2 linked regions of the Coturnix japonica genome follow. The protein of the gene in region 2 binds, or shares a complex with, the protein of the main gene of each other region. Links are inferred from orthologs where the notes say so. Each region holds a gene or a part of one and is shown on either strand. Other genes may lie near its edges.

Evidence for each region. Proteins that work in one complex are often made in the same cells at the same time.
Region 1: the proteins of DISP1 (region 2) and SHH are in contact, whole or in part, in a cryo-EM structure (PDB 7E2I), measured with the Homo sapiens proteins. The link is inferred for Coturnix japonica from reciprocal best matches to the Homo sapiens genes DISP1 and SHH. Residues at the interface, in NP_001356523.1 of Homo sapiens: Lys242, Thr244, Gly245, Tyr246, Lys247, Ala248, Glu260, His265, Arg299, Phe336, Gly337, Asp338, Leu339, Cys340, Gln341, Arg342, Thr343, Glu459, Arg899, His904, Asp906; in NP_000184.1 of Homo sapiens: Pro49, Asn50, Val51, Thr55, Leu56, Gly57, Ala58, Arg68, Glu71, Phe73, Lys74, Leu76, Thr77, Pro78, Tyr80, Pro82, Arg96, Leu97, Gln100, Lys186.

What each region holds. Positions count from the first base shown.
Region 1 is NC_029517.1:7,183,751-7,187,946, forward strand, and holds the start of SHH (sonic hedgehog protein), read right to left. Parts: upstream 2,801-4,196; 5' UTR 2,358-2,800; coding exon 2,049-2,357; intron 1,527-2,048; exon of another isoform or gene 91-1,526; intron 1-90.
Region 2 is NC_029518.1:15,615,008-15,619,055, forward strand, and holds the start of DISP1 (protein dispatched homolog 1), read right to left. Parts: upstream 2,801-4,048; 5' UTR 2,655-2,800; intron 1-2,654. UniProt on the Homo sapiens protein: Functions in hedgehog (Hh) signaling. Regulates the release and extracellular accumulation of cholesterol-modified hedgehog proteins and is hence required for effective production of the Hh signal. Synergizes with SCUBE2 to cause an increase in SHH secretion.

The sequences.
Region 1 (4,196 bases), on a different chromosome or scaffold from region 2:
TGGCCTCCTTATCTCTCGGCCGGATCCAGCCAATGGCCGGGGTGGGGGGGTGGGGGAGGGAGGGGGCAGCCCTCAGCAAACTGCTGTTGTCACCTGCAAAGTTGAGAACCCGACTTACCGAGCTCTGTTTGCCTTTTTTTCCACCCACCCCCCCCCGCCCCCTCCAACCCGAAGTTAATATTAACCCGCGACTAATGCATTCGGCGGCTATTCCCCGAGCCTAACAATTCTCTCCGGGGGAAGATCTCTCCATGCTTGAAGGGTTCGAGGCGAAGGGCGAGGGGCTGCAGGACGGCAACCCCGAGTCCGACCCCTCTCCTTCGTCCCCTCTGCCCCAACCCGGCCCTCTTCCCTCTTTGTGTCTAAAGCAACCCGAAAGAAAGAAAGAAAGAAAGAAAAAAAACTATTTGTTTTCGTTCCGTTCGTCTGAGGGAAGTTGACAGAAGGTCAGGAGTTCACCCGCTGCCGTCTAATGCGGCGGGAGCCGTGCCCCGGGAGGGCATCCTCGCACCGCCCCCGGTCCGCACCGCTCCTCCGCACCCGCTCCGCCGCGCCGTGCCCCGCCGGGAGCCCATCTCCCGCGGAGCCGCCTCCTCCTCCTCCTCCTCTCCGCTCGAGGAGGGAAGGGTGAAACCCGAGCCGGCGCGATCGATGGGCGAGAGGAGTTAAGTGGAGCTGAAAATGCGAGATGCGGTGGCAGAAAGGGCGGAGGAGCGCTCAGCGGGGCGCGGGGGTTGCAGCTCCGCGTTCCGAGCTCCGCGCAGCGCACACGGAGCTCCGCGCTCCGCCCCGGCACAGACGCGCCGCCGCGCTCCCGAGGTACGCGGCGGATTTAAGGTGGTCGGGAAGAGATGGTGGCCCCGAGCCCCGGGAGAACCGGCAAACGTGCGGAAAATCAGGCCGAGAAGCTGGGAGAGTTTGGGAAATTCCCCCCCACCCTCCCCCCCCCCCTCCCTCCTTCCCCGCACCCCATCCGCGTCCACTCCCCGCCTCGTCCTTCCCCGCGAGTCCTGTTCTAGCGCTGAAGGTGGGGCTTAAATGTATTAATATTAAAAAAGCGCCGTTGACCTATATTTGGAGGAAACCCATTTCCAGTGCCTAGATTGCATGTAGTTTGAGAAACTCCGGGATTGGCAGAGCAATTGACTTCACCGAGCTCTCTGGTGAGCATGAATAATAATTACGAGGTGACTCTCGGAGAGGTTCTCTATCTCTCTCTCTCTTTCTTTCTCTCTCTCTCTTTTTGCATAAAATGGTTCCGCAATCCGATTCCGCCCGAGATCCAATATTTACCCGGTTGTAAACCTTGTGCCATCAGATTTTTTTAAACCCGAAGGTGATGCAATGCCGATAAGTTGCAAGTCCCTCCCCTATGGAAGTACCAGAGAGCTGGCGGCGAGCATCCTTAAAGAAATATCAATATATTTACGCTCTGATGGGCACAATCGCAAATGATGGTATTGCAATACGAGCTCTATCATACGGAATCAGGAGAGCCATGGTCGATCCGGCTTCAGCTGCCTTTTGTGAGTGCACGACTGCATGCCTACTAAATATAGAATACGCTCGCGAGGGAAAAAATAAATAAAAGGGTAAAATGAAATGAAACAGAGGGGAAAAAAAAAAAGAAAAAGAAAAAGAAACGAGCGATAAACCCGAGCGATAAACACGAGCGCGGAGGCTCCGCCGGCGACGGGAGAGAGCGGCCCAGCGGTCACTGAGCGCCCGCGGTCCTCGGATCTGGATGCAGTTTGTTTGAGCAAAGTGCATCCGTGGGGACGAACGCGAGCGGCGGTCCCTGCCCAAGTTCCAAGGGAACGCCATGGCGATGCCGGCTGGTATCGCACCGAACCCCCACCGGCGGCTCCGGCCCCGCTAACTTGTCTGAGAGATGGCATTGACATTACGGGGAAAGTAGCCGAGTTTGGAGGGCGGGGGGAAAGGGGGAGGGAAAGGGGGGGGCTCCCAAAAATGCTAAGACAGATGCGTCCTTTAGGGGTTCTCAGAGAGGTTAACAAACACAAATACAGGTATCTCTGTGGCTCTACCTGAGTCATCAGTCTGTCAGCTCCCGTGTTCTCTTCATCCTTAAAAATAATGTCAGGGTTGTAATTTGGGGTTAGTTCTTTAAATCTCTCGGAGTTTCTTGTGATCTTCCCTTCATATCTTCCACTGGCCCCTAGGGTCTTCTCTGCCACATTGGGAATAAACTGCTTATAGGCTAACGGGGTCAGCTTTTTGGGGTGCCTCCTTTTTCCAATGCCCCTGCCTGGTCCACAAGTCAGCCCAGAGGAGACTAAAAGAGCGCAGATGAAGCCCACCAAGAGAATTCTTGTCAACAGCAGCATTTCGTCCATTGAATCCAATTACTTCACAGCTCTCTGTGCCTATCCCTGGCTGTCTCTCTAGAGCTCTCTCTCCTCCTATGTCCTTGTCTGCTTTCTGATCGTATACTATCCACCGATCCCTAGCAAGACAGGTGCTGGAATGGCAGCCTTTAGGTCGCTGATAACGGAACACATCGGAGTTTGGTCGGGAGACAGCAATCGAGAGACAAAAAAGGGTCTGATTTTAATGGTAGCAAAGCAAGACGCTTGTGAGAGGAGTCTGCCTTTAGTTCTATATTATAGCTGCCAGGGCCGAGAGCTGATTGGCCAAGGCGAGACAAGCTTGTCTTCTGATGTTTTAACCCTCAAAAAGGCAACAAATTCTTGAAAGATTTTTTTTTCTTCTCCTTTTACCTGAAGGGCTCGGAGCTGAAAGGGGCGGGGATTCAGCTTTCTTGGGATAACATCAATTACACGCTGCTTGTTGGGTGTTTTTTTTTTTTTTTTCCTTTCTCTCCTTTTTAAGGAATAATAAAAACTTTCTTGGCAGAATGGTACATTCGACAGCACGGGGAAGGGACGCCTCTGCGAAATAGTAATAACAATAAATGCAAAATACATCAGGTTCGAGGGGTGCGAGGCGGGGCTCTGGGGGCAACTCTTAAAATACCGAATATATCGGGGAGCCCCGCGAATAGAAACCTAGTGGGGTAATGGTAGAGCTCGGGGGGAAAGTGAGCTGTGAGGTTGAGCCCACCTCGGGGGCTTTTGTAACAGGTTTCTTCCCTAGGAAAGGGACACCGCTCCCCTCGTACAGCCGCGCGTTGAACCACAGTCACGTTTTAACTGATAAATGACTGCTTTGGAGGGAGGAAAAACCGATAGGAGGAGGCAGCCGGGTGCCCGTCTGCATCATGCGGACACCTCAGCAGCGTTTATTAACGCATAAATAAATAAACAATAAAAATCAGAGCGGTCCCCATTGAAAATAACGCAGCGCCTCGGGAAAGTGGCCGCAGTCAGTGATGGCACAGCGCTGCGCTTTGTTCTGCGCTCCGAGCGGCTCTCTCGGCTCTCACACCTCCTCGCGGGGTGTCATTAAGTTTTGAAGGAGAGCGACGCGCTGAAAGCATCCGCAAACACAATTAGCAGCGATCGATCCAGGCAAAGTGAATGGCGGGGGGATAAGTTTAATGTGAAATTAATTGTTATCTCGTGCAGCGTGGCAAGTGATGTCTTTATCCCCGGTCTCCAAAAGCGACTGATCAGACAAAGGTGTTGAGAGACGAGCAGAACTGCAGCGATGGGGCTGATAGAGCAGGTCGGGCGGAAAGGCAGGGTCCCGTATGGACAAATACGGCTGCAAAGGGCTCCTCTGCTTTTGCTCCGGCGTGTACGCGATTTGTCCCAGCGTCCCGAAACTCGAAGAAGCTTTTTGGGAGTTCTCAAAAGTCCCGAGATGACAAGCTGTAGTGAGCCGAAGTCCTTAGTAAAAAATAATACATAGAAATCAGCTTTATTTAAGGAAAAATAAAACGCAGCTCTTTTGGAGAGAGAGATGATGCGGGAGTTTTCCCGTCTGAGTCGTAATCCGCTTAAAGCACGTGAAGATGGACTTGAAAATTAGTTTTTAAGTGGTTGAAAAAGAGTCAAGTAAAAGTTGTACGCCATGAACAGCAGCATGGAGGACCACCCCAACTTGCAAGGGACAAAGTGATCTTTCCTAGGTAAACTTTAGAGAAAGAGCTGAAAGAAGTGATTGGAAACTCTCGGATCGACTTTTCCCTCCCGTGCACCCACTCTCCTCTCCTGTTACTTATGTTTCTCCGTAACCTTCCAGTGAAGCTCTGCTTTCTCTTCCCCAACTTG
Region 2 (4,048 bases):
TTACCAACATCAAATCAAACTAGGCAGCTACTTTCAACTGTCAGAAGATCACTGAATAAAATGCTAGCCATTCATCACCAAAGCTCCTACCACTCAGAGAAAATACCGAAAACCAGTAAGCCTCAAAAACACAGAACTTCAGAAATAGCAGTATGTGCCACTATATTATATGTAGACTTTTCTGAAATGCTTTTCATATCTACAAAGTTGCCTTAAAAGAGACAAAAGAACAGTTGTGCGTATCTGTGCACATAGGTGAACAGTTCAGAAGCCTGCACTTCAAACTGTCTGAAAGGATAAAGGGCCCATTTCCCAACTCACCTGTGATGGCCCAAGTACCAGAATTCACAATGATATTCATGAAACACTCCAGATTCCACATCTCTGTGAATTACCTCAACCCTGCAGCTATTGGAAACCCAGTTCACAACACACCTTTGCTTACTGGTTGCATATGTCAATAACTGTCCCATTTGGGCATACTCACAGACATTAACATGCTTCCTAGCAGTATCCAAGAAACTTTTCTAAAGCAGCTTGACTTCATATTCCTTTAATTGTTGGAGATGAAAAGCAGAAAGAACAAAGCAAAACGCATTGATATCTAATGCCTTAAGTACAAAAGTGGTGTTTCCTACAGCTCAGGGCTGGGCTATAAGTATCAAATGTACTGTTGACTTTGTTTTCACTTGAAATCAGAAATAGACATAACATGTCTTGCAGTATCAGAAGGACAATGACAGACGCATGGATGGAAATTAGCAGAAAAATCAAAAATGAGCTCTCAGTGTATCTAGTTCATGAACAAGCTAAAGAAAGCAGGTTTTCTTATTGCAACTACCTGGATTCAATAAAACCTGCTTCTTAACAGAAGATCATAGAATTGTAATGCTAAGCTAGAAATGAAATAGTCACCTCGGATTAAATAGTATCAAATAATTTCTTTACAACTTTGTTGAATCACATTATGTGTTCTTCCATTTAACTTGTTTGAAAGGGCATATTTTAGCAAAATCTGACTTTTAAAGCAGACAGATAAGGCAACATTAGAAAACTGCAAGCGCATCAGTTATGTGGATACATAACAAAGAAATATGCTTGTAATGCTGCATGGTAAGGTACAAAATACCCCTTGCCTTGACTGAGAAACAGTTCTCAGAGCAACCAAGGTTAATTTGCATAGTAATGATCAGCCTTGCAGTGAGACGTGTTTAGATATAGTTAACAGTTCTGTATACATTGTGAGAAGCAGCATCTAGAAACCAGACCTTCCTTCAGAGCAGTCAGTGAATAGAACAGAAACTTTCCCAACACTCAAGAACTGGAATCACCAAGTTCCCAGGGGCTGAGCAATGTCCTTCCCTTCCTTACCTAGGGAAGAGTGTGACTCACAGGCAGCAGCTGCCTGCACATTTAAGTCTCCACTGGAAACCATGCTCATGCACAACATCTGATGTACTTCAGGCAAGTGAAAAACTTCATTACAGCATTCTAAATATGTTTCCAGGAACAGGGGCACACTGAGTTAGGGGCTAAAGAAGTGGAGTTGTCCAGTTGTAACTGCAACAGAAAGAAAAACAGGAACACATTTCCTAGGGTTTTTAAAACTACACTTCAAGAGCTATTGTTAGTAATAGTTGCTCCAAGCTGTAAAAACTGCAGCCTCAAGGGCAAAAGTCAGAGAAACCCTACTGATTTTCCCCAGATTACTCACAGAATTAATAAGATCATTTGGAAGCCAGCCTTGAGGTTATTAGAAATCTCCTCACGTGCCCACAGTACACTTCTGCAGCATTCCTGTTTATAACTCTTTAATGAAGTGCAGCACCGAAGTGGAAATCCTTCTGCCCGCTACTAGACAGTGCTGAAACAATCTGGATATTTACCTATTTCATCTTTCCAATTGAAAAGCTTACAAGAAAAATGAAGCAGATTAACCTTTATTAACTCTTTCCTATGTGGTTCTAAAGCGTTTCATAACAAATCATTCATCACAGAAGTATCAAAACACTATCAATAATACTGATAGGAAAATGCAAATTTTCACAATTATTTATGATATAATACACTGTTCAATTTTAGAGTGTCATGGAAAGTTTCACTTTAAAAATATGTTTTAAAGCCATTGATCTCAGGCAACCCAAATAAAAAGTGCATAGTTTAATTGAGCACTGTTGTTTTGACACAGACTTAGAAATCCTAAACATCAAGAGAACTGAATGGTGACATTCAAACGTTCCTGTCAAGCACAAACTACAGGGTTTATTACAGGTATGTCTTCCCTACACTGCGTAGAAGCTCATTGAGGTTTTCAGTCCAACCAACGCTATAATTTGAGCTCAAGCACCCGGTCCTATACAAACGCTTGGTTCCATCAGTTTCAGTACATTCCTACTTACATAGAACAGAAAGTAAATCAACTACCACCTTTCAGCATCAAAACATGACTTGGCAGCCAGAAACTCAGACATCATCAGCTTGGGATGGGAGGTCAACAGAGCTAAATGCCAAAAAATCACCAGCTACGGGACAGCCTCTCAATAACGTGAGAAGAATAAAGCAAAGCTGAGTAGACATTCACATCAGACAAGTAATAAGTAATACATACATGACAAAGCAGGACCCCCAGACAGGAGCACCAGCGATGTTCTCACCTTGAACTGCTCCACTTTCCTCCTTCCAGAAGAGGAAGATCTCTTTCTCCTCCAGGATCTCCAGCTTGTTGGCAGCAGAAGATGCCCGTTGGCCAGCTCCACCACTGTTACTGGAACTCTTGGCAGCTTGGCTCAGCCTTTAAGGTGAGAGAGAAGAAATAAAACCCACAACCTCAGTAACAGGGACACGGTGGGATATTAAGAAAAAATTACTCTCAGAGTGGTGATGCACTGGCACAGGCTGCGCAGAGGAGTCACTATCCCTGGAGACATTTAAGACTTGTGTGGATGTAGCATGCTGAAAGAGTTACATATTAAAGCAAAAGGTTTCCAGAAAAGCACGAAAAGACTTAAAAGGCTGAAGTGACTTAAGAAGCAGAGTAAAGTTGTAGAACAGCAGAGACTGAACATCATTATCAGGTTGGAATACAAGGATCTGGCCAAGACCTGCCAGAGAGGAACAATGACCTCTTCCCCTCCTTTAGAAGGGAGAAAGAAAAGGAGCCGGCCACAGGTAACAAAGTACCTTTCTCTGTTACTAATTTACCATAGCTGTGGAAGGATTTTTTTTTGTGCCAACAGTGCAACAAAAGTTGCAGATCATAGCCTGGAAAAATATTTTGCAATATTTGATTTAACTTTTCTTCTTTCCTGCAACACAAGCAATACAAAATGGAGCAAACAGAAAACAGTTTTTCTACCAGCTACAGTTGTTTTACTTAAAATAAGTAATAAACAGAACAAAGGCAGCACATTAAGAGACTGAGGTAGCACAGGGATGCAGGCAAATACATACAACGTTTAGTATCTGAAACAAGCTCTCTGAATATGGACTGCCTCAAGCTCCCGATATGGAATTTTGCTGTTCCAATAAGGGTTTACATGGCACGTGTTGACCTTTACAACACTACAAACCTTGAGGAGAGGGACTGCTTTTCTGCATTTGGTTTGGGTAGGGTGTTGGTTGTTTTTCTTGCATCCTGGAACTGGCCTTAAAGCACAGAGACTTCATAAGTCATAAATCTTACAGCACGACACGCAGTTTTAGAGTCCCAAGATATTGCTGTCATTTGTTATCTAGGCACTGCTGATTCACTGTTTGCCTGCATGTGTTGAAAAGGCTGCTGTCACATGCAACATTCTGCATCCAAGTTCAGCATCTTGTTTGTGTTAGCATGAACTTTTGCCTAGTCTTGCCTGATGGTGCTTTTTGCACAGGAAAAGCTTAAGATGTAGTTTAGAAATTCCTCTGTCAGCAGATTATCCCTCCCTTTCCCCTCATGTGCACATACACATATAATCCATTGTATTTTGGGAGCGATAAGGAAGAAGAATTTTCAATTCATTCTCAGAACAACAGACAAACATGGCTGCAGATACTTACAGTAAGTCAA